Linked DNA regions of Lepisosteus oculatus. The protein of the gene in region 2 purifies or fractionates together with the protein of the main gene of each other region. This does not show direct contact. Links are inferred from orthologs where the notes say so. Each region holds a gene or a part of one and is shown on either strand. Other genes may lie near its edges.

Evidence for each region.
Region 1: the proteins of atp6v1ab (region 2) and atp6v1f fractionate together in Homo sapiens (co-fractionation; 3 studies listed by BioGRID and IntAct, with this or other methods). This does not show direct contact. The link is inferred for Lepisosteus oculatus from reciprocal best matches to the Homo sapiens genes ATP6V1A and ATP6V1F.
Region 3: the proteins of atp6v1ab (region 2) and atp5f1c fractionate together in Homo sapiens (co-fractionation; 3 studies listed by BioGRID). This does not show direct contact. The link is inferred for Lepisosteus oculatus from reciprocal best matches to the Homo sapiens genes ATP6V1A and ATP5F1C.

Annotation. Positions count from the first base shown.
Region 1 is NC_090702.1:45,633,416-45,643,921, reverse strand, and holds the start of atp6v1f (V-type proton ATPase subunit F), read right to left. Parts: upstream 3,984-10,506; 5' UTR 3,892-3,983; intron 3,555-3,891; exon of another isoform or gene 3,306-3,554; intron 2,135-3,305; 5' UTR 2,134-2,134; coding exon 1,976-2,133; intron 1,219-1,975; coding exon 1,017-1,218; 3' UTR 1-1,016. Other genes in the region: ankrd26 (ankyrin repeat domain-containing protein 26), read left to right, coding at 4,780-4,982, 9,326-9,440, 10,506-10,506. UniProt on the Homo sapiens protein: Subunit of the V1 complex of vacuolar(H+)-ATPase (V-ATPase), a multisubunit enzyme composed of a peripheral complex (V1) that hydrolyzes ATP and a membrane integral complex (V0) that translocates protons.
Region 2 is NC_090700.1:4,081,845-4,092,463, reverse strand, and holds the start of atp6v1ab (V-type proton ATPase catalytic subunit A), read right to left. Parts: upstream 4,081-10,619; 5' UTR 3,948-4,080; intron 1-3,947. Other genes in the region: naa50 (N-alpha-acetyltransferase 50), read left to right, coding at 5,165-5,172, 8,483-8,619, 8,846-8,965, 9,570-9,636, 9,981-10,158. UniProt on the Homo sapiens protein: Catalytic subunit of the V1 complex of vacuolar(H+)-ATPase (V-ATPase), a multisubunit enzyme composed of a peripheral complex (V1) that hydrolyzes ATP and a membrane integral complex (V0) that translocates protons.
Region 3 is NC_090702.1:43,107,597-43,118,598, forward strand, and holds the start of atp5f1c (ATP synthase subunit gamma, mitochondrial), read right to left. Parts: upstream 4,569-11,002; 5' UTR 4,501-4,568; coding exon 4,460-4,500; intron 3,532-4,459; coding exon 3,497-3,531; intron 3,001-3,496; coding exon 2,869-3,000; intron 2,059-2,868; coding exon 1,854-2,058; intron 811-1,853; coding exon 667-810; intron 578-666; coding exon 513-577; intron 1-512. Other genes in the region: kin (DNA/RNA-binding protein KIN17), read left to right, coding at 4,776-4,889, 5,230-5,324, 7,203-7,246, 7,517-7,639, 8,263-8,444, 9,036-9,084, 9,938-9,995, 10,435-10,555.

The DNA.
Region 1 (10,506 bases), on a different chromosome or scaffold from region 2:
TTTAAACATTTATAATGAGATGTTACATTTCTATACATTGTGGGTAACAAGTTCACAAACATTACATATCCAGTAAGGACAAAATGCAGTCTTAACATCCATTTAAATTAATAAATTATTACTATAGTTCTTCTATAATATTGGTTATATGCAGACCCTTTTGTAATGGCCAATAGAAGCAGATTCAACAATGGCAGAAAAGTCCAAATTCAAAACTTCACCATAAACATGTTCCCCTCCACCGCCACACACACCCAGTGGCAGTATTCAAAGCAGCGCCTCTTTGTATATTATAGCACACAATCCACTTCTGTCAGGAATGAACAGGTTCAGAGTCCTTTACCATCTGTTACACACCAGTAACACTGCTGAATGCTGTTTGTGGTTAAAACAAGCAAACTTGTTTGTAGTCACCTAGCTGATGTCTCTGACAAGCTGGGAACACGGAGGAAGACCTAACTACGAACACTGGACAGGGGGTTGGGAGGAATGACTCAGGATACAATGGGAGAGGATGAATGTGTAGCAGATCTTCTTACCCGAATGAATCATGTACAGTATCAGTCACAAACCTACACAACCGTAACCTCACATACCACTAAAAGCAGCAGTTTTCTTCCCCCCCCCACCGATGTTGACACTTAAATTCAAAATCACAATTTTAAAAAGATACAATTGTCTAAAACAAAACTTGACTTTTACCAGACGAAATGTACCAGCTATCTCCTACAATTACACACATCATATGACATAAAGAAATAGCCAAAATAAATAAAACTTGCACGACCAACGACTGTTTTATACAGGACCAAATATTTTCATCCTTCAAATTAAGATAGAACAGATTTGTATGGAAATGTCTCATCCCTCTTCCCCTTTTCCCACTATTCTCCTGCATGGAATGGAATTCTGAAAATGACACACAAATAAAATAAGAATGGCAGAGAAGGTTTTGTGAACTTTCTTCTTCCAAGCTATAATCTGCTTCAGGACATCCTCTGCCTCTTCGGGGAGGTTTACCGGAAGTCCTCTGCGCTGAACATGCCTTTGGCCCTGCGCAAAATGGAGTCCTTGGAAGCATCATAGGGATGTTCCTTAGATGGGATCTCAAGCACAGCTGGGATGGACTGCATGTGAGCATCAATAGCGTGCCGGATCATTTCTGCAATGAACTGGTTGATCAGAATGATCCCAATGTCATCTCGAGCCAAGAAACTCCTAGAAAAAGATGAAAAAAAGAGGGGTTACTCAGGGGGATACAATCTTGAAAAACACGAGCACATTCTGTGCCTCACTCTGTATGCAGAATATATGACTGCAATGATTAATCATGAGGAACACATGCAAATTGCATACAAATTATCACAGAAACAACATGCCATCAACCTCCAGCCTACTGCCTCACACACAGCAGTGGCGATCTGACACAGAAGCACGTGAAGGCTTGCGTGCCCGCTGCGTTTTTTAAATAAGGAAAAAAGGAGGAACTGAGGATGTGTCATTATTCCAGATGTATTAGAATAAAAACGGTTCACTAGCATTTTTATACTGCAAACATAACGCTCTGCAAAAGTTTAAGCTCAACTTAAAATGTATTTAGACCGTAATGCTTGACACTTGCAGGTCTCAGGTATTTAACTTGGAACATAACATTAACGATACCGTTATTGCTCTGCAGATGTACTCTTTTCAAGCAGACTTACTTTTAAGTCTTCTACTAACTAACAGAGATGTCATTTCTATTTTAAATTTGACCTTGTGCAACTGGATTTTCGAGCATGTCTTTAGCGATATGGAAGAAAGAAGGCTATCATCAAAACCAAGAAAATAATCATTTCCCCCATGCTGATCTTACAGTCATGGCCAGTGTTTTAAATTATTAACCACACTTATTGCAACACAATATTTTGAATTATATATTCTCTAAATATATATGTCTCGTCGGCATTGTTAAATCAGGCCAGCTCAAACTCACTTGAAGGTCTCTTCGATCTCGGTGATGCTTGTGTCCTTTTCGACCACCAGAAAATTGGGTTTACGGTTCTTATTCAGCTCTCCAACGCCTCCGAGCAGGAATCCGGTGCAGGTGTCTTCATCTCCGATCACCGCGATCAGCTTGCCTCGTCCTGCCATGCTGGACAAAAAACGTATGCCTGACTATTTCACAGAGGAGTCTGACAATACTTTCTTCGGTTATACTCTCTTCAGGATAAACGAAACACCTGAAAAATCTCAAGTTAACGACGCCTGATCAGCTGACCGCGCCGTACTTCCTTTTTCCTGACAAGTCACGGGATAATTACGTCATCAGACTCAGCGACGCTAACGACCATCGATACCTGGAACACTAGATAAAATCCAGTCATGGAGATGTTTCCATTGTCCTTTCTCTGGCGTTGGAGAGAGCTTTGCTAACGGAAAAAGTATTAAGAAGGACCTCTAATTCGTGTATTAAATATAGACCTAGGCTTATTTTACAAAGTGTTAGAACCATTTTAAATGACTAAAATCATCTTGTGGGTGAGTTTTGTCAGCATTGCCCAATGTTAGAGCGCTGACGTAAGCGAATTTACAGTATGTGTGAACTAAGACATTACGGAAAAAAACTTTGGATTAATTGCCAAATGCAATATTCGTTAAAATATTGAAATACTGGGTTTGCTGTGTCACTCATAACCCCTCCCCCCATACACACACACTGCAGTGGTGGGAATAAAAGGGTCTGAGTTCAAACAGCTCAGATGGGAGAGTATAGTACAGTTTCACCATTACTGCACACAGTTGTTTTATACATTTTCAAGATTTTGCATTATATTACTGCGTCATTATATTGAAAATGTAATAAAAAAACTAAACTGAATTTGATCGAAGGTCAACAGTGTGCCCCAGCAACTAAGACGATACATCTACGGTACCCATCTTAAAAGGGTAACGTAGCTGGACTTGGAGATCTGGCAGTGCTCACCGACATTCTCTAAAAACAAAGGATTTTGAAATATGTATGCTACGAGCTAAAAGACCGATTGGGCGTTTAAGTGAAAAGGGTCACACTTTGGTGGGGGGTGACAGAATGCAGTTATTTTTTAGATTTCTTCTACTTGTTGTTTTTATTTTTATTATTAATGAAAGTGTAATATGATCTGCTCCGTCTCCCAAACCCAAGCATTGCAAACTACCAGTTGCTCAGAGAAGACTGAACCCTTAGTAGGGATGCTGTTTCAACCACACTTGCACGTAGTGGGCGGGTCTTCTCTATGCCACAGGACTATAGCCTGTGAACTATTGGATAACGGGCGAGTGCTCACCGATCCCACGCACTGGATTGGATGCGATCACCGCCGGTCACACAGTTATGTTACTATGTCCCCACGCAACGTGCAATGCCAGTTGGTCACTATGAGAAAAGTGAAGTAATGGATTTGGGAAAGATTTGTATTGATTAGGTTTGTTATATATTGCTTTTTTTTTCAAAAGACATATGAAGAGCATGTATTTTTGACGCTATGAGAATGATTTTTTTTATATTCACACGAATGATCAGAGTTAACGGCAAGGTATATAAATCTAGATTTTTCTAATAAAAAAGATCCTATTTTTAATTCTCCATGTTGTTTTTTAGTTTGCTGTGTGGTTAAATAGTTACGCAACAACTATATTTGTATTCATTTTTGCAAAGACTATGGTTGACATTTTGAAAATGGGAAACTTTCAAGATCTTTGCAATGATAGAATGACCCGATTGGAAAGTACTGATTTTCAGTGTTTGTATTTGGTGTCATACCTTGGCATATTCCGCTCAAAATTGAGACTTCTGCCACGTTTTTGCAATTCGTTGTCTGTGAATCCGAAAGAAGAAATTTACGTACAGTAGTGGAAGAATGGTGATCTTACCTCGTACAGACGAGTATAATTTGCTGTTTTTTCACCAAGTCAGGTTACACTCGTATAACGTCGTGACTTCTTTAGACGCTGAATCTCACCTGACACCTTGGATACAAATTCAAATGTCGCGGTTGTAGATGACGATGAATTATTCAGACTCGGAGCACCAACACTGCCAGTGGAGACAAGACCTGTCGTAGCCGATTCCCAGTCTAGTTTGATCAATGATATGTTCGTATGATATTGTGGCGGTCGGTTATACGAACCGAGAAAACCCGTTTCGTTGTTTTTGTAATGCCAGGCTGTTAAACCCCCCATCCTGTTCTGTTTTTAGATGCACGGCGTGGTTGCCTTGGTTACAGACTCTGTAAATTGAGCTCCTGCCCTTGCTGCTGCTGTTGGTGGTACACGAATTGTGCAGCTATGGGAGTATGGTGTAAATTAACTACTGATAACGACTAAACTCCAAATGAGGCAATTGCTGTCTTTTTTACACTGTCGACCATTTTTCACCGAAACCCCGATTTGATAAGGTAAGGAAAATTATTATCCTTGCATGTTATGCCCTGAAATTGTATTTATGTACAGTATGTGGTCTTAGGGATACAGGACACAGTGATCGCAAACATGCTATCATAATCAGACATCCTAATTGCTCAGGGCATATTTACTGTATGTATTTTATTAAAATAAAATAGAATAAATAAATCGCCGTGTTATTTCTCATTCTGCTAGACTCATGAGTTTGACATCATTATCCTTATCCGATTTACTGGTTTATTTTTGGAATGGAAAAGACGCCCAAGGTGAATCTTCTTTTGCACCTGAGTGAACAACGCCTGGACACTGCAGGGCGATGAAGTCGTGCATCCCTTGTCCGACTCGAAACAGTTCACGATGAAGAAGATATTTAGCTTTGCGAAGAAGAAAAAGGGGTTTTCTCCCAATTCGTCTGACACGGGGAGTGTGCTGTCTGCTGGATATGAGCTAAAGGAAAAAGATCTAGGAAAGCTACACAAGGCTGCTTCTACAGGGGATCTGACCAAGCTCAAACAACTTGTAAAGAAACATGATTTCAATCAGCTGGATAAAGAAAACAGGTAAGTTTAATTTTCTCTCTAGACAGCTTTCCTGAGAAAACAGCACTCTGAAACAGTTTGTTTGTATCGTGTAATGAAACATTGCTAACAAATTCAATATGTGTTAGGTATTGTGTTGTCCCGTATCAAGACCTGTTATCCTGTATTTCTGTTGATTTATAAATCCAGTTTTCTTTCACATTTAGGGGAATATGTCAAATTAATTCCTGTCTCCAGAAATGTCTATAAAATGGGATGTACACTAACCTGCACATGATTTACAATGGTTGCAATCATCCGAACAAGCTAGATGAGCCCAAGGTCTTAAGTCCTACCTCTCTTGTTCCTGTGCAGCTTTTAGTTCATGTTCTTTCTGGTGTAATTGTTAGACACTTGTAAATGCTATTAACTGTTGTCTGTCTTTTGGTCTGTTTTTAATTGGTGGAGGTAAGCTGCAGAGTTTTTGATAGCACTGTAAAATGGTAGTTTATTATTTCTGTTGCAGTGTGGATTACAGGGCAAAGGCCTGCTTGCTATTTCAAAATTACATTTAATTGGAGTGGCAAATATTTCACATTTAATCTTTGTAATATCACATTTTGTTTATTATTTTAAAAAATGAATTGATTAATTTTTTCAATTGTAACGCTACATAAAGACATTTTGTTATTTAAAATATGCATTTAATAACATTTTTAACTTGGGTCACATTTGTTTTGCAAATATGCCAGAACTAGTCCAATTTCTAGTTTTAGGCTGAGCATTAATTTGATATACAGTATAGTGTACTTGCCATAGCAACTAAGCTACAGCAAATATTTCTAAACATAATAAGTGATCCGATACGATCTTTAAAAGGATAACCACTAAACATCAAATGTCATCCTCCACTTATTTTACTTGCAATTTGCATCAGCATCCTCTGGAACATTTGTAGATAAATTTATTCTAATGGAAAACTAATGTTCTTCAAAGATACATGTGAAGAAGGTTTTAGAACATTCATGTGAATTCAAATGAACGTTAATGGGCCAATTGGTACTTAAATATTTTTCTAATAAATGTAAAAACCTACGCGGATCCCATGCAGTTTTGAGTATGCTACAGGTTCCACTTTGTACATCTTTAGAAATTGCTCTGTAGCTGGTGTACAGATCCAGTCCTAGAGAACCAGAAGGTTTTTGGTCATTTGCTTTCTATTTTAGGCCTGAATCGCCTCATTGAATTTACCTAATTAGCCAAGTTGCAGACTTACCTTATTCCTAAAGAAGCTGGAGTTTTAAGGATTCCTATAAAACCCACTGGACAATGTCCAGAGTTGGATTACCCTATGTAACTAGGTGTCACAGTTGTTGGACAGGAGATGGGAGTAGCATCCTTGTGTGGACTGGTAGTTAGTTCCCTGTTATCAGCTGTACTATAGTACTTGTATCCTGTGCCATCCTGACAAAACGTCTGGAAACCCTTCCATTTTATTTTCTCATTTTTAAAAAAATAAACCTGTAAATAAGGGATCCCACTTGAGTTGATTGTCAGCGTGCGCCAGTTACACAGACCACCGCCAGTGAAACTACCAGTGCCTGGTGGGACCTACAGAATGTCACAACTTGCAGGCATCTTAGTGACTTGCAATGTAGACACACCCCAGGAAGTCACTGAGTGGGGTTCTGGGAAGTGTAGTTCTCTTAGGCAATGCAGTGTTTCTGAGCTTTGCTAGCCAGCTTCGGTACCCTGCTTTCCATGGTTTGTGTTAACTTCTCCAGCTTGGGAAGCATCCTATGCTAGCAGCTATTACCTGCTACAGCAAAGCGTTAGGACAGGATTGCACCAATATTATTTCCTTTTGAAGACTTTCCTTTGTTTTGTCATTAAACTGTTATTAACTTTACTGTAATAGAAAAAATGGCTAGAGTCCATGTTGTATCTTATGTCTTACCTTTTCAGTTCATGGCTGATTTTGATTGCAACCTCACTGTTAACATTTTAGCACACAGTCTTCATTGTTGCTGAGGTTCTGAAGAATGCAGTGGGAATAAGGGAGGGAAAGAAAAAAAAACCCTAAATAGCTGAGAGAATTTATTCAGCTGATTACTATGCCATACATTCTAATAATTAGAATGCTTCAGTTTGTCACATATGATCATTTTCTCAGTCAGGTGTGTTGATTAATGTTGATAAATTCAGGTATAAAACTATAGTCTTTTCTAACAGCAGTTTTTTGAAGGCCTGGTGAATTTACATTTTCTGCATTATAACTATTTAATTTTTATTAAAATTGTTGACATTTTAGTGCACCTCATATTCCCATGTCTGTTTTAAAATATCTAACTTGGGTTCTTAACTGTTTTTGCTGCCATTAATATCAAGGTGTGCATTTATTCTTTATTGATATGATGTCTATCCAACGGTACTGTTTTTAACTGGTCCTACTCATATCTGACTGGCAGACAGCATTTTGTTTTCTTGGTCCTCATAAATCTTCTATGGCCCCAGTCAATCATGGTGTGCCACAGGGTTCGGTCTTGGGCCCATTGCTTTTTATAATTTATATGAGTTCTCTTGATCAGATTATATGCAAACATGGTCTTCTGTTTCGTTGTTACGCAGATGATACTCAGATTTACATTAAAACATCTGCCCCTCTGATCTCCAGCCTTTGTCATGTTACTCTTGTCTGTGTGACATCAAGCTCTAGTTGACATCAAATTCTTAATGCTAAATAGTTACAAAATCTACATTTTACTAGTGCGTAGCAAAAAACTGGAAAGCTTCACAATAAATGTTGATGGCTTCCTCATTCCGACACCAGTCATAGTCAGGAATCTTGGAGTCACACCTTCTATTTTTTGAGCCACACTTCACAAAATGTATGAAGATCTCTTTTTTCACCTAAAAATATAGCGAGCATTAGGCAATTTTTATGAATGTTGGATGCTAAGTGCTTGATTAATGCATTTATGACATCAGGGTTTGATTTCTGTAACTCTTTGCCCTGTGTGCTCCCTAACACTTTTCTTAGTATGTTACAATGTATCCAGAACTCCACAGCTACACTTCTGACTCACACCAGACCCTGGCAACATATCTCTCCTACATTCAGATCTCTACTTTGGTTGCCTATAAAGTCATATATTCAATAAAACATCTTGTTACTGACTTTTAAGCCTCTAAGTAATCTGTTCCATCATTCTCTGAACTCCTGCATGTTTACACTGCCTCCCATTGGCTCTGTTCAGTTGAGACTGGTCCTTTGCTCACTGAACCTAGGACTGAATCTCAGACTTTCGGTGACTGTATTTTATTTTTAGCTTTTTATTGTATATTTTTTATCACTATGTACAGCGTTCATGGGTTTACAGAGGTGATTTATAAATCATTTTTATATGTATAACAGCTGCAAATGACCAGATTACAGTCAATCCTCCGTTTAAATGATTTCACTTTAATAGACTTTGGAGTTAATAGACCCAATCTGCTAAATGTGAATTTTGAGGTTCTATATTTCTGAAGTTATTAAAGTGGCTTTCTTGGTTTAACAGCAAAATGTATGTAGGTAATTAAAAACACTAAATCAGACTGATGAACAGCATCAAACGATATTATTTGGATGCTTGTTCACAAAGGAAAAAGAGTAGTCGCCTTTTCGAATCTGAGATTCTGTTTTAAAGTCGTCATTTAAAAGAACTCCCGCTGCTGTTCCTTCCTGGTCACGCAGGGTACAAACCCTGCAGGAGTCCAGGATCTGAGCTGTTTTTATAATGGTTATTTACCATACTCGCCTTTCCAAAGTAATTGCAGGATTTGGTCTGGTATAGTTAGTTTCATCACTGTTGAACTGTTCTGCTGCACCTAATTTGTGGGTTATGTCATCTACAACGATGGATTATTTTTGTAGCTTTGCCTTATGTTCTTAGTTTGATGCTACAACAGTTACAATACATATTAATACACTGACACTTAGTTACATCTGTAAAAAACAGAGACAGTTCTTCATGTGTGTAGTTTTTTTTAATTCCTAAAAGGATATATTTTACATATAAGACAGGACTCACCTGAGTGGCATGCAGCAGCCATTATTTGCTGGTGGGCCAACCACACAAATAGATGAGGAGCAGTTTCTCACCAAAAGAAAGTACTTCACCGCTTGAACTAAACATAAAACATCCACGCAACACAGGAACAACAACAGAACTATATTCTGTATAATAGCTTCGTATAGAGGCTTAAAGGTTTTGCACATTTAGTATACAGTATGTACACAATTTACAGTAATTTTAAATGTTACTGACATCTTACTCTAAAACAGAAATAGGATAAACATGAAGTTATATTTTCTTAACCTTGTTTTCTCTCTTCTTTTTCAGAACACCCTTACATCTTGCCTGTGCATATGGACATGCTGATATTGTTCGTTTCCTGGCAGAAGGCAAAGCAAAATTAAATCTCTGTGACAATCAGAACCGATCCCCTCTCATGAAGGTACGTTGTATAAAACTAGTTCTGGAAATTAAACTTGGTGGATGGTGACCATATTATCCACTCAATTTGTTTCTTAGCTGAATTTGACCAAAAGTACAGTAAAAGCTGACAGAGTAACATCATGAAAAATGTCCCAGTTCAAGAGTTCCTTGGTGACATGCCACATTAATGACACTGTATCATCAACATGATTTCAGAAGCATTTCCAATCTGTATTAGTAAAGGATGAAAAAAAGAAACCTTTGGCTTTGCTTGATTTCCTGTATCGCCTTAGAAAGTGTTAGAAAATGAACACTAAACTTACTATATATAAAAATATAATAAATGTCATTGTTCAGGGTTATGGTATCTAATAATAAAATTATACATTTGGGGACTATGTAAATTAAAGTGCTATTATCCATTCTAATGTTACTGGGCAGTTATATGCAGACAGAATGTCCGAAGAACCTAATTCTACCTTTCGTGCACTACATTCCAATTTTAACATTAAAATGAGTCATAACATTAAAATGAGTAATTTACATATACTCACATCACTTTTCATGTATGTACTGTAAAAAAAGTCGGTTTCCTTGCTGTTGAAATGATATACTTATTACATCACGTACTTGACTATAGGGAAGTAACATTTTGCTACATATATTCTGCTCAGGAACGGCACAGTGGTGCAGCATTGTTGCCTTGCAGTGCTGAGGTCCTGGGTTTATTTCCAAACCTGGGGTGCTGTCTGTGAGGCGTTAGTATGTTCTCCCCATGTTCACATGCTGTAGGTTTCCTCCAGGTGGTCTGGTTAATTGGCTTTTGGAAAAAATGGCTGTGGTGTGAGCGCGCACATGTCTGTGTGTGCTCTGTGATGGACTTGCGTCCTGTCCAGGGTGTACTCCACCTTGCACCTGGTGCTTGCTGGGATAGGCTTCCCCATGACCCTGAATTGGAAGTGGCTAGAAAATAAATGGATTGATATGTTGCTCGGATATATTTGAACATATTGTTTATGAAGATTTCTAACTTGCATGTGTTGACCTTGTGTATTGTTTCGTCTGTTTCTGTTTGATTTTGCAGG
Region 2 (10,619 bases):
TAATATTAAAGCAAAGGTCCAGACTGCTTGGCCATTAAAAATTCATTAAGCATTAAAATTCATAAAGGGTCATTAACCCTGGTACTCTGGCTCAACTCCAGTCTGGACCTGTACAACCTGTCCTTAGATTTTACTCCTAGTTCAACTGGAGGAGCAGTTTCTCGCTCCTCCACCTGATCTTCTGTGTTGGTAAGATGCAGACGCCAACCACATGGGAACTGTACTTTAATGGTGGATGAGGTGGACCCCACCATTTTGTAGAGAGCTTTCAAACGCCTAGGGATGAGAAACGCTATAAAACGACCATTTTTCAAAGAAGGGCTGGAATGAAATCTAGGAGGGGCTGTGACCCCTGCAGGCACGATACCTAAAGCACAAGAGAATCACCCCTCTTTCTACACACCCCCTTCCACAGTACTGCCACACTCGGACCGGGACATTCTTTTCTTTCCCTGCCTACAACTCACAAGAAGAGAAGCCTTCATTAAGCAGAACAGCCCAATTGATCCTTCACACCTTCACAGGCATGCCTGGTCATATCTGTTAAAACTGCAAAAAGAACAACAACAGTTACCACAGCTCGGCAGACAACTGATGACAAAAGAGAACAGAAAGTCCTGATTAAGGACAGATTTCCCCATGTTGCCACATGCAAGCCTGCACTTCCTGGACTGCAATCCATTACAAGAACCCGTCACAGCCATTTCTCCATCCACCCTGCCGCACTCGATGAGCTAGCGGAGGATCAGGAAGCTGACCTCTTTGTTATATACCTGACCTGCCACTACATGCATTACAACTCTGGACAACATGTGTTCAGAAATACCAGCACTTCCTCTCCTTCCTCAAGTGAGGTCACTTTACTGTCTATCTGTCTATGTTTTTGCAAAAAGCAGTTTATTCCTGGCCAGGGTTGTGGCAACCCTGCGTATATCCCAGTGCCAAGGGCACAGGGCAGGACCACGCGAAGGGGACACACACGTGTGCACAGGGGGCACAACTTACAGGAACCAGTTACACAGGTCAGGGTGACTTTGGAAGGAAGGAGGAAGTCAGGCACTGGAGAAAAAAAAACAACGTAAACATGGAAAGAACATGCAAAACAGATTTGTTATTTTACCAACGACGTACCTGCTGCACAGAAGACCTGTGCGAGAATGAAGTGTCACGGTACCTAACACTGGTTTCCTGCTGTACTGTACCTATCCATTGTGCTACAGGGCTCCTGCTACACAGCTCTTTGCGTGAAGAGAGCTGAAATGAAAGCCACGCAGAGATTTGAAGTTGAGATTTGGCATTGCCAACGCACTGGCTGGGCTGCTGGATGGACAGCCTGCATGATTTACGCTCACCCGTGTGGAGACCGACCCCCTGATGTGGGCTCCAGCTGAACGAATAATGAACTGATCGACAGTAAGGGGCTTTGGGAAAAACGTCTCACTGCTCGGCTCTCAATGTGGCACCCTCCCCCCTCCCGGTGCAGCTGTGTGATCAGGCACGGTCACGTGACCTCCTCTGGCTCTGACTGGTCAGTATCTGTGGTTGGGCTGCACGTTCAACCACTGATAATCTGATCTGGGCAGGGGTCTGGACACAGTCTTCACTCAACTTGGCCGTTGGTACAGTATTGTTGTCTGTTTTGTTAAGCACCTCATAAGACGTTTACTTGGAGGCTTTGCCCAAGATCAGCATGTTTGCGCAGATTTTGCGGCACAAATACAATCTGGTGCAGATGAACATGTGCAGGACACCAGCCAGCAGCTTTGGACCCCTCGGGCCATCATTAGACCTAAAGGGGGACCTTTGTTTATCCAACCCAGACCTATGCACTGAATCACAAGGTAGCGATTACATGACAGTGGAACAACTGCATAGGATCATGCTATAAAAGAAAGAAACATTAAAGGAACTTCCAAAATGGAACAATGCATCAGAGTCACCTTCTCATTCACGGTTATGACTCACTTACAGACAGTTTCCACTGATCTTCCGTCAAACCCACCAAGTTCACTAACACTCCACATCAAAGCACAGTAGTGCCAAAAGTGTAAAATTAAAATCGGGATCTTTGACCCATCCCTGAAAACTGCTCATACTTCATTCACAGGAGGGTAGTAAGCACATGCTCTTGAAGCATTCCTATATAAAAAAAGGCACTGGCTCGTTGCAATGCAGGTTCTGAAATTAGGTTCGTCGTGAGACTGACTCACCGCTGTGCTCCCCTACCACAAACCCACCCAGCCGAGGTTCTGTCACTCTGGAGCTCACAGTCCCGCTGCGTCACAGCGCACGAGGCTCAATGGACACCTCCAAGCCTCTGTCCAGCTTGCCGTCAGCGATGGTGAACCATCGCCAAATGAAATGAACAGGGCAGGTGACTCAAGGGAGTATTGAGGGTCCTCAAGGGCACAGACAAAGTCAGCCCAGTCGGCCTCTTCTGAACGAGCAGTGAAACAGGAACTAGAGGCCAGTGCATTGGAGACGAAGAACAGCAGGCACTCCTGTTTGCCAAGTCAAAGAGTTTCAATGAGTTCTACTATTACAGCAAGGGTCCTACTGTGCCAACAAGAGCCCATCTGGAAAGAAAGCCAGCAGGAGTGGGGGAACCCCAAAAGCAAAGCTGGGAACCCCTGCCTTATCCTGCATCACCCGGAATGGAAGACCATACTCGGGGCACATCACCCTTACAATATCCACACCACTTTTATGTAAAACAAAATGACAAAACTGCTAGACCGATCAGATGATACAAATGGACTACAATACAATACATCATTCATAATAGATCACTCCGTTTTCTACGTCAGATCATAGAATACATTTTAGGGGAATGCAGTTCTGATACCGCCCGGCATGTGATGGACCCCCATATATCTGTTACGCAGCAACTGTACACCCAGCCCCACTCCAGACACCCCATAAAGATGCTGAGCGCCCTTCGGAAAATTTCGCCCGGTCTGCTGACTCGATCACATGACGTGTCGATCGTGTCTAATACACATTTGTTAAGACGAGCCAACCCTCCGACAGAGCGAAGGCAACTAAATGCATAGACGGGGAATGAGACGGTCACCGCTACAGTTCAGTCCCGTAAAACAGGCCGATACCTCTGAGGTCTGAATCCGTTCAACAAAATCTAGTCTAGGGTACTTCGTCTCAGCAATACCCGTCAGGATACGTTAGCTATCCTCCATCGACGTAAACACGCAACACATTCTTAACTTGAGACATCTTTCCGCATTGCAATTATTCCTATTCCTCTAAAACTGAAACCTACACGACCCCTGGCAAGCCCAGCGGTATTTACCAGCAATGCGTCCGAAAACACGTTTGCACCCACGAACAAACCTCTGTTGCGCAGTGAACTCGCATCTTGACACTTCAAAAATACGATCGGCTCTGTAATTGTGATCGCTCAGATATTAGCGTTCATCGAAAAAGCGTAATCTAAAATTATTTCATAATACGGTATATCACACCGAGTCTCCATCTGACGAGCACAACATGCTAGCCGATATGGAAGAGTGTCTGCTAATAATTCAGACGCTTACTGGACTACAGTACGGTTAGGATGTTTTAATACGACTGAAGGACCGATGTTGCATTTTGTTTTCAATTATTTTTTTCACAACTGCCGTACAGTGCAATGGTGGCCGAGGACGGTTTCGACAGCTAAAAGAAAAAAACAAAAACGAAGGCCTGTGACAGTACTGCCGCACGAAGCGTGAAATGAAAATTGTTTTAATTTATTCACATCAGAAACCCGCAGTGTTTATTTTGCACATATGGATCAGCTGTCCAGCCTGTCACTTCAGCGGCGCATAGGTCTGCTACCGACTTACAATCTGCATTTCATTGAAAATGTAATTTAAGACACGCAGCAACACAATAAAACCGGCTAAACACATACAAAACAGTGATTAAAGAGTCAAATACCGTTACGTTACCTTCGAGAAACGAAATTATTTAAAGCTTTTTCTCTCCCTCCTCCAGCAAGGAACTTGTCAGCAAAGCGAGAGATCGGGGAGTCAGCTGACTTCATTCACCGCAGGCTGAACTACCCCTTCGACAGGAGAGGAAACTGACACCATACTGGCTCAAAACTGGATGCTGGGCTGCACCGCTAAGCTAAGCCGTTTCTAGAGCCAAGATGGAGATGATTTAGGCCCAGTTTCGTCACTTCCCCTATATATTTCGCACCCTCCGTCAAATTGAAAGAAAACAGCATTATGGGATATTGGAGGAACTTTATCGAACGCGTGTTATCCAGTTTAGTTCTTGATAAAATAATTTGAATAACTAAAACACTATTATGATTCATAAAGGATGATGTACTTAGCTTTTAACTATTCAAAAATATGCGTCTCATGTAGGGAGTCATTATCTTACCAAAATATTTTTTAAAATATTAACCCGTAACCGGCGTCCCAAATTTATAATAACGTTAGTATACTCGAAAACTGTTTTTGAATAATTGCCATTGAAGATACCAACAGTAGCTGTTAATAGATAGCCTGTCAGTAAAATAACAGATTAGTTAGTTCATTAATTTCCATAATTGCGTAAAGAAATATTCAGATATATTACGGGAGGGCACGTGTGTGTATTTCTGGTCACGTGATCTATCCGATTCGCTGTTGGATTAGATATTTTCCTTCAGTTCAACTCAAATGATTTTTAACATTTAAACATACTGTCGCATTTCCTCGCAATCAATTTATTTTTTTTAAATGCGGTCGTTAAAATATTTTAATCGAAAACGGCAACGTCGGCCCGAGTCAAAGGTCACGGCCTTTGGACGTTTTTTAAAAAAACAGCCGTTAAATTCGTCGCTTAATCGAATCCCATTTTCAAAATATTTTCACGCACTGAAAACCGGTCGCAAACCGCGTCAGGGTGGCGTTGGGGGACGGGCAGGCGGTTTTGGGGTCTCCGCGGGGGAAGGCAATATTTTTATCCGGGGTAGGGGGGTGCGGAGCGAGCGGGGTCAGAGTTCAGCCGTGTGTGTGTGTGTGCGCGCGGAGGGGGAGCGAAGTTGATCCATGTGGTTCTGGCTGACAGCGGTGCTCAATCCTCACCCGAACTCAGCCCGAATCCCCCCCAAGGACGAGCCGCTGCCCTCCGCTTTGACCGCGACACCCCCGGGAAACAACTCCTGTCCACCATGAAAGGGTGAGTAGGCGCCGTCCGCCGAGACGCCTCTCTCCCCATCACGGATAAAGTTTTTTTTTTCTCCTCTTTTCTCTCTCTCTCTTTTTTTTTTTTTTCCGGAGAGGGGTGGGGGTGTTGCGATGAGCTTTGCTGTGTGCATGCTCGCCTGGTGCTGCTGTGGGAAGCAGGAATCTGCCAACGCCAGCAGAAGCGTTGTGACCGCCGGGCGCCTGGTTAGCGAGCGGCGAGTGTCGCTCCTGTTTTCTCATCCCCAAGATGGCAAAAGTAGGATCGCTGGGGTTTTGTTTCCCAATCCCCGTTTTGGTTTTCCCTCGCGAGGACCGGCCGAAAAACAAAACCGCTGTTTGTTTTAATCGGATCCCTTCTGTATTGTGTGTGTGTGTGTTTTTTAAAATGAAAATAACGTAGAAGCGTTTGCTGTTGTAAATATTAATTTTCAAGTCTCCCCCCACCCCCCTTAACTTTATAACCAGTGTTTTTTCTTCCGCCTGTGTCTTGATAGTGAAAGATCCTTAAAACAGTGTACTAAATGGGTTAACGAAGGTGTGTTTGAGCACAATTGTCCGTTGGATCCCTTCTGAAGTCACGCAGTGGGCGATATCGGACGCAGGTCGGTTAGTATTTGGGGGTGTAATAGCGCTTCGGCCGACGTCTTCGTTGTGTATCACGGTTGCGTTGGCTAAAAGGTTAAGACACGTTCCCCCGCCCCGGGGCGTCACCAGTAGATCGACTGTTATTTGTTGTAGAAAAATCAACAGGTAAAATCCGGGGGGGGGGGGGGTCCGGGCGCGTGCGGGGTCGCCCAGCCCGGGACGCCTTTTGGCGCGCGCTGCAGCAGTAGAGGAAGAAACCCCCCCCCACCCCCGCCACGAGACACCTGTCCACACCTGTCTCGTTGTTTACCCCCCCACTGCCGGGTGGGGAGCGCTTCCCTGGCCCCTGTGAAGCTTTGACCCAAAAGCTGCTTTTAAAAGGGCGGTTCGGAGGTAAACCAGCAGACAGGAGCCTTCAGTGGCCGTGTTATTGGTTGACGAGTGCATGCTGGGTGGGGGTTCGTGAACATGATTCTTCACGAAGAGAAAGCAAAACCAATTTAAGTGGGATGTTGTTGTTTCCCCCCCCCATTCGCAGTGGAGTGCAGGCGAGAAGATGTATCTGCAGGCAGACCTATCAGACACTCCATACAGCATGTCTGCAGGTGTCTGTGTCTCTCCCGATCCTGCCTGTGCGTCTGGGCTTGCTCGCTTGATTGAGGTGTTGGACTGTAACTGAAGGTCACTGAGGGGGGTTATAAATGAGAGGAGGCCCATCCTGTTCATTAACCAAAAAAACGTTGGTACATTAAGAAGTTCGCAGAGAGAGAGAGAGGAGGCCATTTGAGTGAAAAAGGCTACTTCGACGCCCCTGTACAAAGCACTTGTTTCGGACAAGCCCCGGGTTGCCCTCCGGGCGAGGCGCTGCAGCGTGGCATGCGCTGCGGGGGGCCCTGGACAGAGCGGGGTCCTGCCAGCGCCGCGTGCCGCCCTCCTGCCGCCAGCTGGTGCGGTATCTCGTGACCCGGGCAGCTGGTTTAAAAATGGAGTTCCAGCCCCGGCCGGCCCCTATAAATACACCAGGGCGCGCGCTGGGCTCGGGGCTGCCTGGGGCACAGGTCCAGCCAGGGCGGGTGGGCCCTGTGCCGAGGAGGGGGCAGCTCTCTTCCCAGCCCGTCGGCCGTGCGGTCGTCCTGTGGGGGTTCCTGATGCAGAGCTCAATAGGAGAACAAGGGCCAAGTCTGACCTGAGCTGAGCAATGGATGTCCAACTTGGTTCTCTTCGCTCGCTGCCTGAGACTTTTCTCCTCAAGTCTGCGCCCCCTGCCATCGACAGCAATGGCTGCCCCCTGCTTGCTGAAGTCTTTTTTTTTTTCTCGGAGTTACCCAGCTGTTTTTGTGTCTTGCTCCCGTGTTTCTGTTTTTCTGCACAAAGAAACGGAAGTCGACCCTCGGCACGCCCGTGGCGTGGTGAGGAACTGAGTGCGGTGTTCAGCACCGGCCCTCAGATCTCGGCCGCCAGGGAAGGAGACGGCTCAGCTGCGGTATTGTGGACGCTGCGCGGTGCCCAGGGGCATCCTGCAGCAAAGGGGCTTGAACAGTTCCTATGGAACAGGCTGAGCAACACCCTGACTCGAGGAGATCGTTGGATCAGTTTGCCTACTAACCACCAAATGGGCTGGGCCCCTCTCATTTGTGACAACTCGGCTGAGAGACTTCGCTTGCCTGGAGCCCATTCCCACTGCTCTGTGAGCTGGGGTCCGGCTCAGAACCTTCTGCCGTGCAAACAGGAAAACGAAAAAGGCAACAGTAAACGTAACTGCACGCCGTCGCTTTGAAAGAGAACGGGACTGTAGTAATAATGGCCGGGACTGGGATTTGAAGAGAGGTGATAGTTCTGAAGTGGTGCTAATTTGTGCAGTTGTGAACCCAGCGCTCACTTGCTGGACATGGTTCATAGTTTTTCTTTGCCCACATTTCCATGACCTTTGGTCCCCTCGTTGAAGAACACATCCAAGCTCGAAGACTCTGGGCTCGGTCTGGACTGAGAGGAGGCAGCTGTGCCAGTCCTGGAGAGCATGGACATTGGCGGGAGTGCGTCCAGCTCCGCGGTGTAAAAGCTGGCCTGGCTGTGGGCTCTGCTGGATAGCAGTGTGTACAGCTGCCGCCTGCCCTGGCTCTGCTCGCGGGCTGCGAGGAGCAGCTGGGAGGTGTTGGCGAGCTGGGCAGCTCTTTCAGTGCTCTTTGAGCTCATGTGCTCGTGGCTCACCCGTGCAAGACAGCACCCAGGTGTATCAACGTTTCAGTCCTTTTGTCAGGTCTGCGGATACGTTTGCACGGACAGACGCGTGCTGTTAGTGTCATTTGAAAATATTTGCATTTCTGCTTCATCGGTGCGGTTTGTTCTTTTGTACTGGTTTAGCCTGCAAAGAATCAAACTGCTGTGCAGGCAGAGTCTTCATTTTCCCTCTTTGCTCTGCCCCCTGCCCATGCTGCTATTCCATACAAGAGCACCACAGAACGCACGGCCACACCTGGAGTTTCCGATCCTGCCTGTGCGTCAGTGAGATGCATTGTGACGGGAAAATTCTTTACAGCATTAAATAGTTTGTTCGTTGATCACAAAGTTAGTCAGTTAATGTCTGCGCAGCGCAGGAAATGCATTGGAAATGGGTCTTCCTGCCGATCCTGGGAAGGGGTTTTCACCACGGCAGTGGTGCTCAGCTGGTGTCCACTGTGGGCACGCCACAGCCGTTGACCAGTCTGGTTCTGTTCCAGTAGCCGGATCGAGCTGGGAGACGTGACGCCACACAACATTAAGCAGCTGAAGCGGCTGAACCAGGTGATCTTCCCAGTCAGCTACAACGACAAGTTCTACAAGGACGTGCTGGAGGTGGGGGAGCTGGCCAAGCTAGGTGAGTGGAGCTGGGGGTGTCCTCGATTCTGTGGGGAGTGCGAGGGGGGGGGGTGATTAAGGGCCGCGCAAGGGCAGCGAGACGTGGGCCGGGGAGGCGAGCGTGCGCGAGGAGGGTGGGGGTGGCGTGTCTGCGCAGGGCCTGCAGGTGCAGGTGCGGGTGCGGTCCGTAGGGGGCGCTGGTGCTCATGGGCGAGAGCTCACTCTCGCTCTCCGCTGTGTTTCAGCGTACTTCAATGACATCGCAGTGGGAGCAGTGTGCTGCCGGGTGGATCACTCTCAGAACCAGAAGAGGCTCTACATCATGACCTTGGGCTGCCTGGCGCCCTATCGCAGGCTGGGGATAGGTATGACTCTGCCGGCCTGCTTCGAAAGGCGCTCTCTTCTTCAGGACGCAGACTGGATGTTTTTGTTATTTTTTTTGCTGTTCGTATGCGTCCCACAAATCGGAAGGATTGTGGCCCGTGCTTTTTATCAGCAGCTGCTCTTCTGATTTTGGAAAGAGCTGAGAGAGTGGCTGACGGAGAGGCGGGGCTGACAGCGTTGAGACATGAAAGGGAGAAACTGCTTAAAATCAGATTGGTTGAGTTAAATACATTTTTATGCATTCCCAGGGGGATAATTTAAGCACATACTTGTAATATGGGCCCCAATCAAAGTGTGCAAAAAAGTTTGGAAAAAAAAAACAGGGTTCTGTGGTTGCCCACTGCAGTCATGAGCCCCAGTTAAGGGAAGACACACACGGAGCACCAAGCTCGTTCAGTCTAGAGACTCGCTACAGATCTCTGCTAACACTTTTCGAAAACATCACGCAACACGTTGTGAATAAAAGATGCATTCCTCGCGTTTCAATTTCGAAGCTTTGCGGGTGTGTTCTGGTCCTTTTAATCCACAGGCCAGGTGTCTCTTGTTGTGCCCCTCTGAGCTCCCTGTATGCTTTGTTTTATTCAGGAACAAAGATGCTGAACCACGTGTTAAACATCTGTGAGAAGGATGGCACTTTCGACAATATCTATCTGTAAGTAATCCTGGTTTGCAAAGAATAAATAGGAAAAATAGCTTATTTCCTTGTGCATGTAAGATGAGAGTTGAGTATTTGTTTTTTCTTACAATTATAGTCTTTGTTTATAAGTTCACAGACATTTGGAACTGCTTTTCTAATTGCAACCTGTCAAGTATTTCCACAAGTATTTCCTGTGGCCAAATAACGTTCTTAGAGGACCAACATGCATTAAGTTCCCTTCAGTTGCACACCTTAGCAGTAATGCCAAGAGCTCTGTCCTCTTTCAAGCACGTCTGCTCTCTGTCTGACGGGCAGTGCGGCTTCTCACTGCTGTTTTCTGTTTTTTTATTGGCACGCAGGCATGTTCAGATCAGTAACGAGTCTGCCATCGACTTTTACCGGAAGTTTGGTTTTGAGATCATAGAAACGAAAAAGAATTACTACAAGAGGATAGAGCCAGCGGACGCCCACGTTCTGCAGAAAAACCTCAAGAGTCAGTGTCCGGCCCCCAGCGGCGATCTGCAGAAAGGCAATTAGGACTGAGAAACGGGCGGACGAGCTCTGGCGTGCACTGTCTCCGTGCCTGGACTGTGAGAGGCTCCTGGTGCGAGAATCCGATGGCTGATGACACCTTTACCACTTTCTTCAAGGGACATTTAAGTTTACTAGACAAGAACAAAAAAAAAAAATGCTGCGTTTCTTTTGCAAAACGGGAGCCCTACTCAAGTTGCAGTCCCCCTCCACCCTCCACCCATTCCCCTTCCTATTTTTTTTTAATTAGTTGAAAAACAAAAATTTCAGAATTCAGAAGTGCACTAGAAGAAAGTGTTTTTTTTTTTTCCCAAAAGGAGCAGTCTTTCCGAGGGCGAGGGTTATCGGTTGCCGGTGGTGGTGGTGGTGGTTGTTTTTGGTTAAAATGTTTTAGAATATGACATTGAGGGAGTGAGTCGCAAAAAAGAGCGAGATCAGGAACCGCAGAAAACCCTGACACAGTTCAA
Region 3 (11,002 bases), on a different chromosome or scaffold from region 2:
ATACACATAATAGCAAGTATATCCCATTTCATTTAATCAAAACATTTTTTAGGTAAATGCAAAGTGTTTTTTTTTCTCTCTCAATAACCTGCATGGGAAATCCAAACCAATGGTGTTCAGAAACTGCAGAGAAGGTATTTCTGAAAATAAAAATCCTAATTTTATGTTTATAATAGGCATTCATGCAATGTATGTCTCTGTGAAGAAAATAAAATTCTGTGTTCAAGTTAACGTAATGGCACTGATTCTTTTTCAAAACCATTTTCTCTTTTATAGTGGAACACAGAAGCCAGCAACCTTATCATTGTATGCCTGTTAGCATAATCAGATTATTTATCACCTATTAGTTAAAGCACCTGGGATTTCAACAAAATGAGCTGCTGGAGAATTCCTGAACTGCTTCTACTTGCAAGCAAATAGCACCTTTGCTCATCATCACACTGCTTCATTAGCAACAAACACTTAATAAGCAGTATATTTGTAAAAAGAATCCTTCTCATTGGATAACATACCTGAATTGGCAACGGTGTCAAGGGAGAACAAAGGCTTTTCCTCGGTCCTGTACGAAATAACAGACCTAAGAAAAAACAAAAGAAGCCGTTTTAAATGCAACCCGATGCTGAAAGCTCCAACGTGCGAGTTTAAAATGAGGTTCTGGATGTTTACCTGAATCGGTTGAAAATGATGGAGCCTTGGTCAAATTCAAATCCGGAATCGAGCAGCTCGGTGGCAATGGTGGCAGCATCCCCAAAAGTGGGAGGTTTGCGTCCTACTTCCTTGCAATTGAGTAAGAAGTGCTTTCCATGGGTCCTGCCAGGTAAAGTTCAAGTACCTTTATTGCCATTTGCACGAACAGCGCGTTGGAAATCTTACACCGTTTCACTCAGTCAGAGAACATAAAGACAAAAGGGTAAACACACAGACTATGTGCAGGACACTATATACACAAACTGAAAAAAGACTCTACACAACCTGTACACACTATTATGCAAAAAAAATCCACACAAGAATGGCTCCTAAGTTACACGTGATAAAAGACATTGCGTCTACGGAGCTGAGGTTGATGTGGGCCTCCTATACGTTATGCCGGTTGGCACTGTCCTTGGGAAGAAACTGTTCGTAAACCTGTTCCTTCGGGTCTTAATGCTCTCTTGCTCACGACGCCGAAGGTTATGTTTAGCGTCTCGCCAGGTAAACAGACTTTGGCTAGGGTGGAGTGGGTCTTTGAGGATGTCGTGAGCCTTGCTCCTGCAGCGGGCTGTACTGAGATTCTCCAACAAAGCAAGTTCTGTTCCAATGATATGTTTCGGCTGTTCTAATCGCTCTCTGGAGAATGTGTTTGTACTTCTGGGTAGCACCGCCGAACCACACTAATACCTCCAGTCACAATGCTCTCAATGGCACAACGGTACAAACTAACCAGTGCTTTTTTGTGGGTGCCACTCCTCTTTAGGCACCTCAGAAAGTACAGACACTGCTGGGCTTTCTTCACAATTGCACTAATATTCTCTGCCCAGCTCAGCATATTGGTAATATGTAGGCCACGAAACTATATATAAAGTATAAATGAGTGCCATTGTAAAAAAAAAACACACAAAAAAAGTTTTTGTTATTGATTTACAAGAAAGTACATTATGAACTTTTCTTTTAAGGGCAGTACTTAATACAAAGTTGGTATCGGCTTTCAATATTTTGTCTGTCTTCACTTCAATAAAAGTGAAAAATAAAATGGCCAGGACTCAAGAAAAGCAATTAAAAACAAAAACAGCGTGCAGCAACAACAGACATTTGTTATGAATGACTAAAGTCAATTACAAGATCAGTTAACAGGACTATCATAAAGTAGGGATTACCTTTGAAGGATACCTCTCAGCTTGTCCCCAACACTAACCACCATGACCTCCTTCCCGGCGCTGGTCAGACTGGCGATTTCATTCTTCATGGCCTTCGCAATGCTGGAGTGAATAGCACCACACAGACCACGGTCGGAAGAAACGCCAATAATGACGTGCTTATTCTTGTCTTCTGGAGCCTTGATCTCTGCCTTTTCATACAGAGCTGGAAAAATATCAGAGTCACTACTCAAGCTTGGCAGGTAGTTATTACAGTCACCCAAAAGCCTGTTTATCCCACTTAAAACATCTTAACTGTCCCAACCTATCTATTTCCTAATCACTTTATTTAATTCAGGATCACAGGGGAGCCAGAGCACATCCCGACATGCAACAGGCACAAGGCTGGGTGCACTCTGGATGGGATGCCAGTCCATCACTGGTAACAAAGGTTACCACTGACTCAGACACACACGCTCACACCAGGGCCAGATTTCTCAGAAGCCAATTAACCTTCCATTATGTCTTTTGATGTGAGAGGCAACCAGAGCACCTGGAGTAAACCCACGTGAACACATGAACATACAAACTCCACACAGATAGCATCCCAGGTCTGGAACTGAATCTAGGGCCCCATCTCAACAAGGCAGCAATGCTAAACACAGTACCACCATGCCAGCCCATCTGAAGTTATAAAATAACTCAACAGAAGTATAGATTATTCTATAGAACTTTTTTTCCCCCACATAAGCAGAGAAGATTATGTGGCAAGTGCTTTACAGAAGTGTAAGTAAAAGCCCTCAGCGTCTTCGTCTTTAAATCCTGTTTTCTACAATGTAAAATCTTCCTTGAATAATAATGCACTATTTTAAAAGACATTAATATATCATTTTATAATTTTTAAAAATCTGCTTTTAAAATAACACAAACAGCATTTTTTTCTGAAAGACTAGCTTCCATTGTGGCAAATATCTAAATTAATATATTGGGCAGTTTGTGACACCCTGTGACAAACTCCTGGAAACTAATAACATACCCAGGGCCCCAGTTCCATAAACACGTGCAGGTTTCAAAGATCTCTCAGCCCTTGAATATTTTGCTGCAGCAACCATTTTCATGGATTTGGTGATCTTCTGGATATTCTTGATGGACTTCAGGCGAATGGTGACTAGAAAAAAATATATACACTAAGAACAATTGCAAGAGATTTTTAAAAAGGTTTTAATCATTTCAACTGATCACTGCATGGAAACAGGCTAGTATTTAAAAAAGTGACAAGAGTACAGTTACATTTCATATCCCATTGCACCAATGTTTGAAAAATATTATTCACTTAATTTCTGGCTACAAGGAATAGTCATCTTGGTATTTTCTGTCCACTGAACAGAAAGATTAATGCATGTGAGAAATTAAGACAGTCTGTTCACTTAGGTTTTAGTCACAGAAGTTTTCCACAATTTCAATGCATTTCCAACCTTTTCCCTTGGCAAAGTTTCATAATTCACATTTATATGCCTTGCTTTACATTTCACACTCGTCAGATCTTTACTAACCTAATGATGCAGACCTGAAATCAGCTAATCATGAAAGACTAAAATCCACTAAAACTATGAGCAAAATGTCCAAATAACAGGATAAAATACACTTTATTAAACAATACTTACTGTCCTTCAGTGTAGCCATGTTCCTGACTTGGCCACTGCAAGAGAAGCTAATATTAGTCAGTAATATTTGTAATGATTCATTTATAACATTACAATTCAGTGCACCTTTGGCATGCAAAACAGATTCAAAAGGTAGTCTGTGGAATTTACAGGATGTGCTTTTTACACAGTAAGCTATAGGAGGGTGGAACAAGCTACACAGCCACTATGTTGAAGGTGATATCCGGCCGTTTGTTTGAAAAAAAAGCTGAGATATGACCCACAGATCAAATAGCTACTAAAACTCTAAATGCCTATATATGCCAAATGGCCCACTCATGTTTGTAGCCACATCAAATTGAATAATTTCTTAAATAATTGCACCACAAACAAGTTTTCCACATCAATGCTAACAACTTTTTAATCACCCCGTAAAACAGTATAGCACAGGCTCAAATAGGAATTTCAGTTCAGGCGGTTTTAATAACTGACACTAATGATCTATATCGTTAATATAGATATTAACTGTCACAATGACAAAGGAACAATACATAGTAAAACATATGTTTTTAATATGTCTGATGTTTGCTTGAAACATATTCTCAATAATGCAATGAATGCCCTGTTCGTCTTGGAGAAGTGACATTGAGAGCTATATCGTTACCGCAGTAAGCATTTATGCAACGGCGGCGTTTCAAATTATCATGAGGTGTTGTGCAAATGCAAATTTAAAGAGCAAAAAATACTAACAGTGGGTAAGATATGAATAAAGACTTAAATGTTTCTTACAATGAATCTCGCTTAATAGCATGAACTTGGCCGCCCTACAAAAAAAACTGCCCAGGCCTACCGGTAAAATAGTGCCAAGCAAGATCTGTCTCTACGGAACAGCACAAAATCTGACTCGTGCTAAAGCATAAAATAACCAACCGCACATTAACAGATATCGTTTTGGATTTAACCCTGCAATTAGATTCACGTTACCATTGTGGCTGAAAAACCAGAACGCTGGCTCTCGCGAACATGGTGACACCAACGAAGGTCAATCTCCACTCACTGCGCACGCGTAAACTTCACTTTCCGCAGAAGAAGTCAAACAAATCCACGTCACATGGCCCAACTCAGTCTCGCGATGGTCAGACGGTGTGGGTAAGCATGACGTAATGACCCAATACCGAAAACAAGGAGCGCAAGTTGTTGATGACGTGAAACGCAACAGTAAGGAGAGCGCGTTGTGAACTTCTGGTTCCAACAGGGATCATCGTTATTTTGTTTTGTTTGTGAACATTGGCTTTCCAAAATGGGAAAAGCGGAATTTCTGAGTCCCAAAGCTATAAGCAACAGGATAAAGTCCAAAGGCCTTCAGAAATTAAGATGGTATTGTCAGATGTGTCAGAAACAATGCAGAGATGAGGTGAGTCTGGTTAACTTTAGTTTGCACAACGTTTTACATTTTAACAACTAACAAATAACACTTAAAAGCTAAACGTACGATAAGGTATTAAGTCTAAATCGTGTTCATACCACACTACAAGAAAATGTCGCCACAAAACGTCTCACAATTATTATGTTTTATGAAATATTATCATACAATGTAGTGACGAAATACAACTAGCTACTGCGTGCTGACCGGCAGATGCAACTGTCGAGTATTTTAAGCTCATAATTATTGACTGCAAATGATAATTGCTGTGATTCGAGACGGAGAAAACGCGAAGTAAAGGTCTGAATGAGTCCTGTTGTGTTCTTGCTAGAATGGCTTCAAATGTCACTGCATGTCGGAGTCGCACCAGAGGCAGCTCCTTCTCGCCTCGGAGAATCCTGACCAGTTCATGGACTACTTCTCAGAGTGAGTGTCGAACTGGACAACTGAAGACTGTTCCTTTACCATTTCCATTTTCTGACTGTGCCCTGTGTTGTTAATATATTAGGTGATTAGCCAATGGGAAATTTTGGAAATCAGAAAGAATGAAGTACCTAGACGGTGACGGTGCCGATAAGAAATAACATTCTTCTTCTTCTTCTTTTTCACAGCCTTAGTCCCAGACTGTCCTGGGGTCAGCTGCTTTGGTTGCTCTTCTCCATTTGTCTCTGTCGAGCACATCTTCCTCACTCACTTCACATACCTCCATATCTTTTCTCACACAATCTATCCATCTCTTTCTAGGCCTGCCTCTTCCTCTGTTACCTTCCACCTCAAATTCCATTACCCTCTTTGTTACTTCCTCAACGTCCCTCCTCATGATATGTCCATACCACCGTAACCTCGCCTCTCGCATCTTCTCAACCACATCCACCACCCTACATCGTCTACGGATTTCTTCATTTCTGATCTTATCCTTCATTGAAATCTGCAGAATCCATCTCAACATCCTCATTTCAGTTCTTCTCATCAAGTTCTCTTCCCTCTTTCCAACTGCCAAGCATTCAGCTCCATATAGTAGTACAGGTCTAATCACAGTCTTGTACATTTTGCACTTTAACTTTCTGGGAATTTTCCTGTCACAGATTATTCCAGTTATTTCTCTCCACTTGTTCCATCCAGCTTTCACTCTTTGTTTTACTGCCTCCAGTGTTTCTCCTCCCTTTACCAGTTTTGATCCAAGGTATTTAAAGTCATCAACTTGTTTCAGTTTTCCTCCATTTGTCTCCTCAACATTGGTCATAGTATCTCCTCTTCTCTCCATTACCATTATTTCAGATTTTTCTGCATTCATTTTCAGTCCACCCTTTTCCAGACTCCTCTGCCATTTGAACACTTTCTCCTGTAGTTCTACTTCTGAGTCTGCCATCAGTGCCACATCATCAGCAAAGATGAGTTCCCAAGGCACTTCTGTTCTTACCTCCTAAGAAATAACATTCGTTGAAGAAAATTAAAAAAAATATTATATAACTTAAAGCGGGTGACACTTTAACTTAGAGGAAATACCTTAAAGCCTGCTTATGACCATAACTGTGTAGTCTGCCTGTTCTGCACCAGGCTCTTGTTGGAATGATCAGAAGACCAAAATTCCAGGTTTGATGAATAAGGTGACTCTGATTCAAGTCAGATCCATTCATTCCAGGAACTTGATGAGGCCTGTACATCACACGTATCAGATGCTGATTTATGTTATGAGATCCTGACATGAACATACAGTAGTCCAGTGTGTCCTGGACTAGCACCCTCTGTATGTTAAATACTACTTGTTTGGGGAATGTCATGGAGTCTATAACGATAGTTCAGGAGGGATGACGGCAGCCAGGTTCAATCAGACCGGGCTGTCGGTAATTCACAATCAGTCCTGATGTTATTTCCTCTCCTAAAACCCTTTAAATACTGTATGTGATCCCCTTCTCTCCCTCACATACATCTTTTGCAACCCACCTCCACCCCTTCTCCACCTTTGCAGCTGCCCCTTGGTCACTCCTCACTCTGCATAGAGGTCTCAGCCTCCTCGTCCTATGGCCAGGAGGTTAGCCCTCAGACAAAGGGGGTTAAGCCAAATTTTGACTAAACGCTCCATAATCCTTTCAGTACACTTAATTACCTGGTGTTATTATTCCTAATAAACTTCTGATTTGTTATAAAGACTTGAACAGCTGAAATATCATGTAATATAATTGTGGTATTAATGCTAACCAAAAATACATAAATTATATTTCTGATTAATATTAAGGTTTACTTGAGCATTTATGATTGCTTGCTATTAATGCATAGAACTGATTTGGTTGTTTGCTCTTTTAGGGAGTTCAAGAATGATTTTTTGGAGCTGATTAGAAGACGTTTTGGTAAGATTAGTGGATTAATACCTAGCTATGCTTTAGTTAAGTCTTTATTATATTAAAGTTTAACATATTAAACACTGTTCATACAAGAAAAGTATGGAGGAGATAAACAATTATCAATTTTGTATTTTACAGTTTGCCTGTGTTTACATTTGCCATTGTAAAAGTTGCAGAGAACCTCATCTGCTTTTAACATATTCTTTAATGGATTAAAGTATACAAATAGAAAACATTGATATATCATTTTAGTAATGATTTCTGTTGTATTTGCAGGGACAAAGCGAGTCCACAACAATATTGTCTATAATGAGTATATAAGCAACAGAGAACATGTCCATATGAACTCTACTCAGTGGGAAACCCTCACAGACTTCACTAAATGGCTTGGTAAAGAAGGTAAGTCTTTTTAAAATGGATAAAGATCTACCAGGGATATCAGTATTTGCAGTAGTGTTCTGTGGGTGAAGGGGAGGATTTCTGCCTTGAATCAAAGGGACATTTAAGCCCATGATTGATTGTCACAAAGCCAGTTGTGGCATTGTTTTCTCTGGGTATCATTTTTGAAAGATTTTAAATATATCTAAACTTAACGTTTCACATACTGAATCATAGGATTTATTAAATATGATAGAAGGTTTGTAAAAAGAAATGTCTTGTTCCATGTGATATCTAGTTAGACAGTTGTTGGTAATGCTTTTCATTCTTCTGCTTTAATTATTTTCTTGTGTTAAAAATCTTATCATATTTTTTAAGAGAACCTTGTTTATCCATGCATATTTTCACACTTTAACACTCACTCTCCAAACATCGGTACCAGATCTTACTTTAAAGCCACAGCTTTGGTAATCATACACCATGAATAGGATGGAAATCTTTTATAGGCATGCCCAGTGAAATGGAAAAAAATATTTCCTTGCAGGCCCGCAATTTCTTGCCTTTTTGAACTGTTTTGATAAGAGGTTCCTAAACTTTGTAGGGCTAAAGTATAAGAGAATAGAAATCTGTTTTTCTATGTTTAGGATACTGTAAAGTGGATGAGACACCTAAAGGCTGGTATATCCAGTACATTGATCGGGATCCTGAAACAATCCGAAGGCAGGAAGAATTAGAGAAGAAGAAAAAGCAGGATCTGGATGATGAAGAAAGAAGTGCGAAATTTATTGAAGAACAGGTTCGCAGAGGCAAAGAAGGCAAGGAGGAGGTAATCACAGTGCTAATATTAGTAAGAGCATTCGCGACAGATGAGAGAAGCTTACGTTTGATTCACATCTCTTCAAACTTCATATAAACCAAGTCCATTTCCCAGCTGAAAACACCACATTTCTGCCAATTTCAACAGATGGCCTGGATTAACTTTACATCACAGTGACTGTTGGTTTTGTCTCATCGGTTCCTTAAGCACCAGTTCCTTAAATCCGATCACGAATCTCAGAACCCATTTGCTATACATTTCACTCCTGCAGTTTTAACCTACATTCTTGTGAGTTTATTTTTGTCAGCGGTTAAATGGGACAAATGTTCTTTTAAACAGTATGATCTATTTAACATTCTTTAATGACACGTACAGTGTTTCAGGTAATTATAGCTAATGATCATGCTCAACTTAAAGGGCAATGAATACTTAGTTCTTAAAGTGTGCTTGGCCTGTGTGGAATAAATACCCAAAATAAAGAGTAGTAATCACTTTAAGTTCTTTCTCTACAGATCCTCACTCTTACAGCAGTTAATTATTTAAATCGTCTCCAGCAAAATCAGTAAGATCTTGGTCTTAGTTACCATGTTATTTTTCTAGGAAACTCCTGTCTTTACAGAATTGAAAAGAGAAAATGAAGAAGAGAAGGGTGAGTACTTTCAACATTAATGTATATAAAAGTGAATGTCATTAAAAACAAGTTATTTTGCTCGTAACTACAAGTAAGTTTGTAGTATTCATTTATCCAGTTTGAGGTATTTTAGTGCCAGTATTGAATCTAAGGAGAAAGAAAATATGATAAGATTCACCAAAAAATTTAAAATAGCTGACAGAAATAAGGTGTGGGATAATTTATAGCAGATCTTTAGGTCTTGAATCCATAATCCATAAAACTTTAGAAAAGCTCTGTTTGTAAACATATGAATGTGTCTTGACCTAAAATAACATCTAATCATGCCATGCAAGTCCATTTTTATAATAGCTATTAAGTCAGCTAATGTAAGACTGTGGACACAATCTCTCCATCAGTAATTTAATAATTAACTGTCACCCAGTGAACTGATTTACAATTGTTAGAGGCCCTTTTCTTTCCTATAGTGGCAGGTTTTCTGGTACTGCAGTATCTTCATAGACTGCCCTGGCACACAAAGCTTTTTGCTCCAGAGCACAGTTTACTTCTGATTTTCTGAAAAGTATCAGAAGAAATTTCAAGTATCTTAAAAAATGTAAAAGCAACAACAAGATTAGGCCATTCACCCCATTAACGTATTTGCCTCTCAACTTAGATAGTTGATCTGCGGATCTCATCCTGCCATTTCTTGAAGGATGCCTAGGTATCTGCTTCAACAACATGCCTGGGTGAAGTTTCAAATACTGTAAGAAACTTCATAGATACAGAAAAGATTAACTCAGTTATTAATTTTGTTGTAGATGTTGTGAACTCAGGCATAATGGTCTGGAAAACCTTTACATGTTGTTAATATTATTTATTAATATTGCAGTTGTGTTTAATTTGGCCAAGGGATTGAGTAACTCTGCAGCATCTTCTTCAAAATCAAGGTAAGGATGAATATTAATAGTACCATGTAATGTAATTTCAGGTTGTTTTAATTTTTAGCGATTGTTCTTTTTTCTTTTATAATTGCTTTTTCTGCACAGCAGTGTTTACACCTGTAGATTAGAGTATTATTTTAAATGGGAGTTTAAAATGATCTCAGTTGACTTTTACATTTAAGGAGAATAAAGACTTGATAAATCTTTTTGCACGTTTTATGATAAAAAGACTGTTTCTACTTCCATTTCTACTAACATAAATATGGAAGATTGTATGTTACAAGATGATATTTTAAAAAAGTTATATTAAACTTGATAATCAATCTAAACGTTTGTTTTGATGGGACTCTTTTTATTACCTGACTCTCATTATTTTCTTTTGTTTTCTTAATTGTAATATAAATGCATTCCTAAAAAGAAGAACTAAAGCATATCATTTTCCCAGCACTTCTCTAGGACCAAGTGCCCTGCAGGTTGCAGCAACCTCTGTAAAGAGAAAGGAGTCTAGTCATACCTCAGAATCGAAGGAGAAGAAGAAGAAATCTGCACTGGATGAAATCATTGAGGTACTGTTTCTAAATTGTCATTATAGAAGTCTTTGTTTTCAATGTGTTGTGCACAGTACTAAATGTAGGCCCTTATTTACAAGTGTTGGTGAAATATACCCATTAGGCAGACCTAATAGGGCATTTATCCAAATTAAGATTATGTGTATTTTATTACATCTTTCATTTAAGATTACATGTTCAGTTATGTTCATTTTTACACCCGGGAGTTATGACTGATTTTAACAATTTTAATTTGAAACATTTAATGTCCATGTCCTTACTTATTAGTAAAGCCCATAAGGGCTATAAAAATTCAGACCTATTATGTTGACATGAACGCCAAGTCTCCTGCATTTCATTTTCACTAGTGCTCCAGGATTATAAAACATGTAAAACCTAAAATGAAAAGATAGATACTTTATTGATCCCCTGAGGGAAATTGCAGAAAAGATGTTACAATTATCC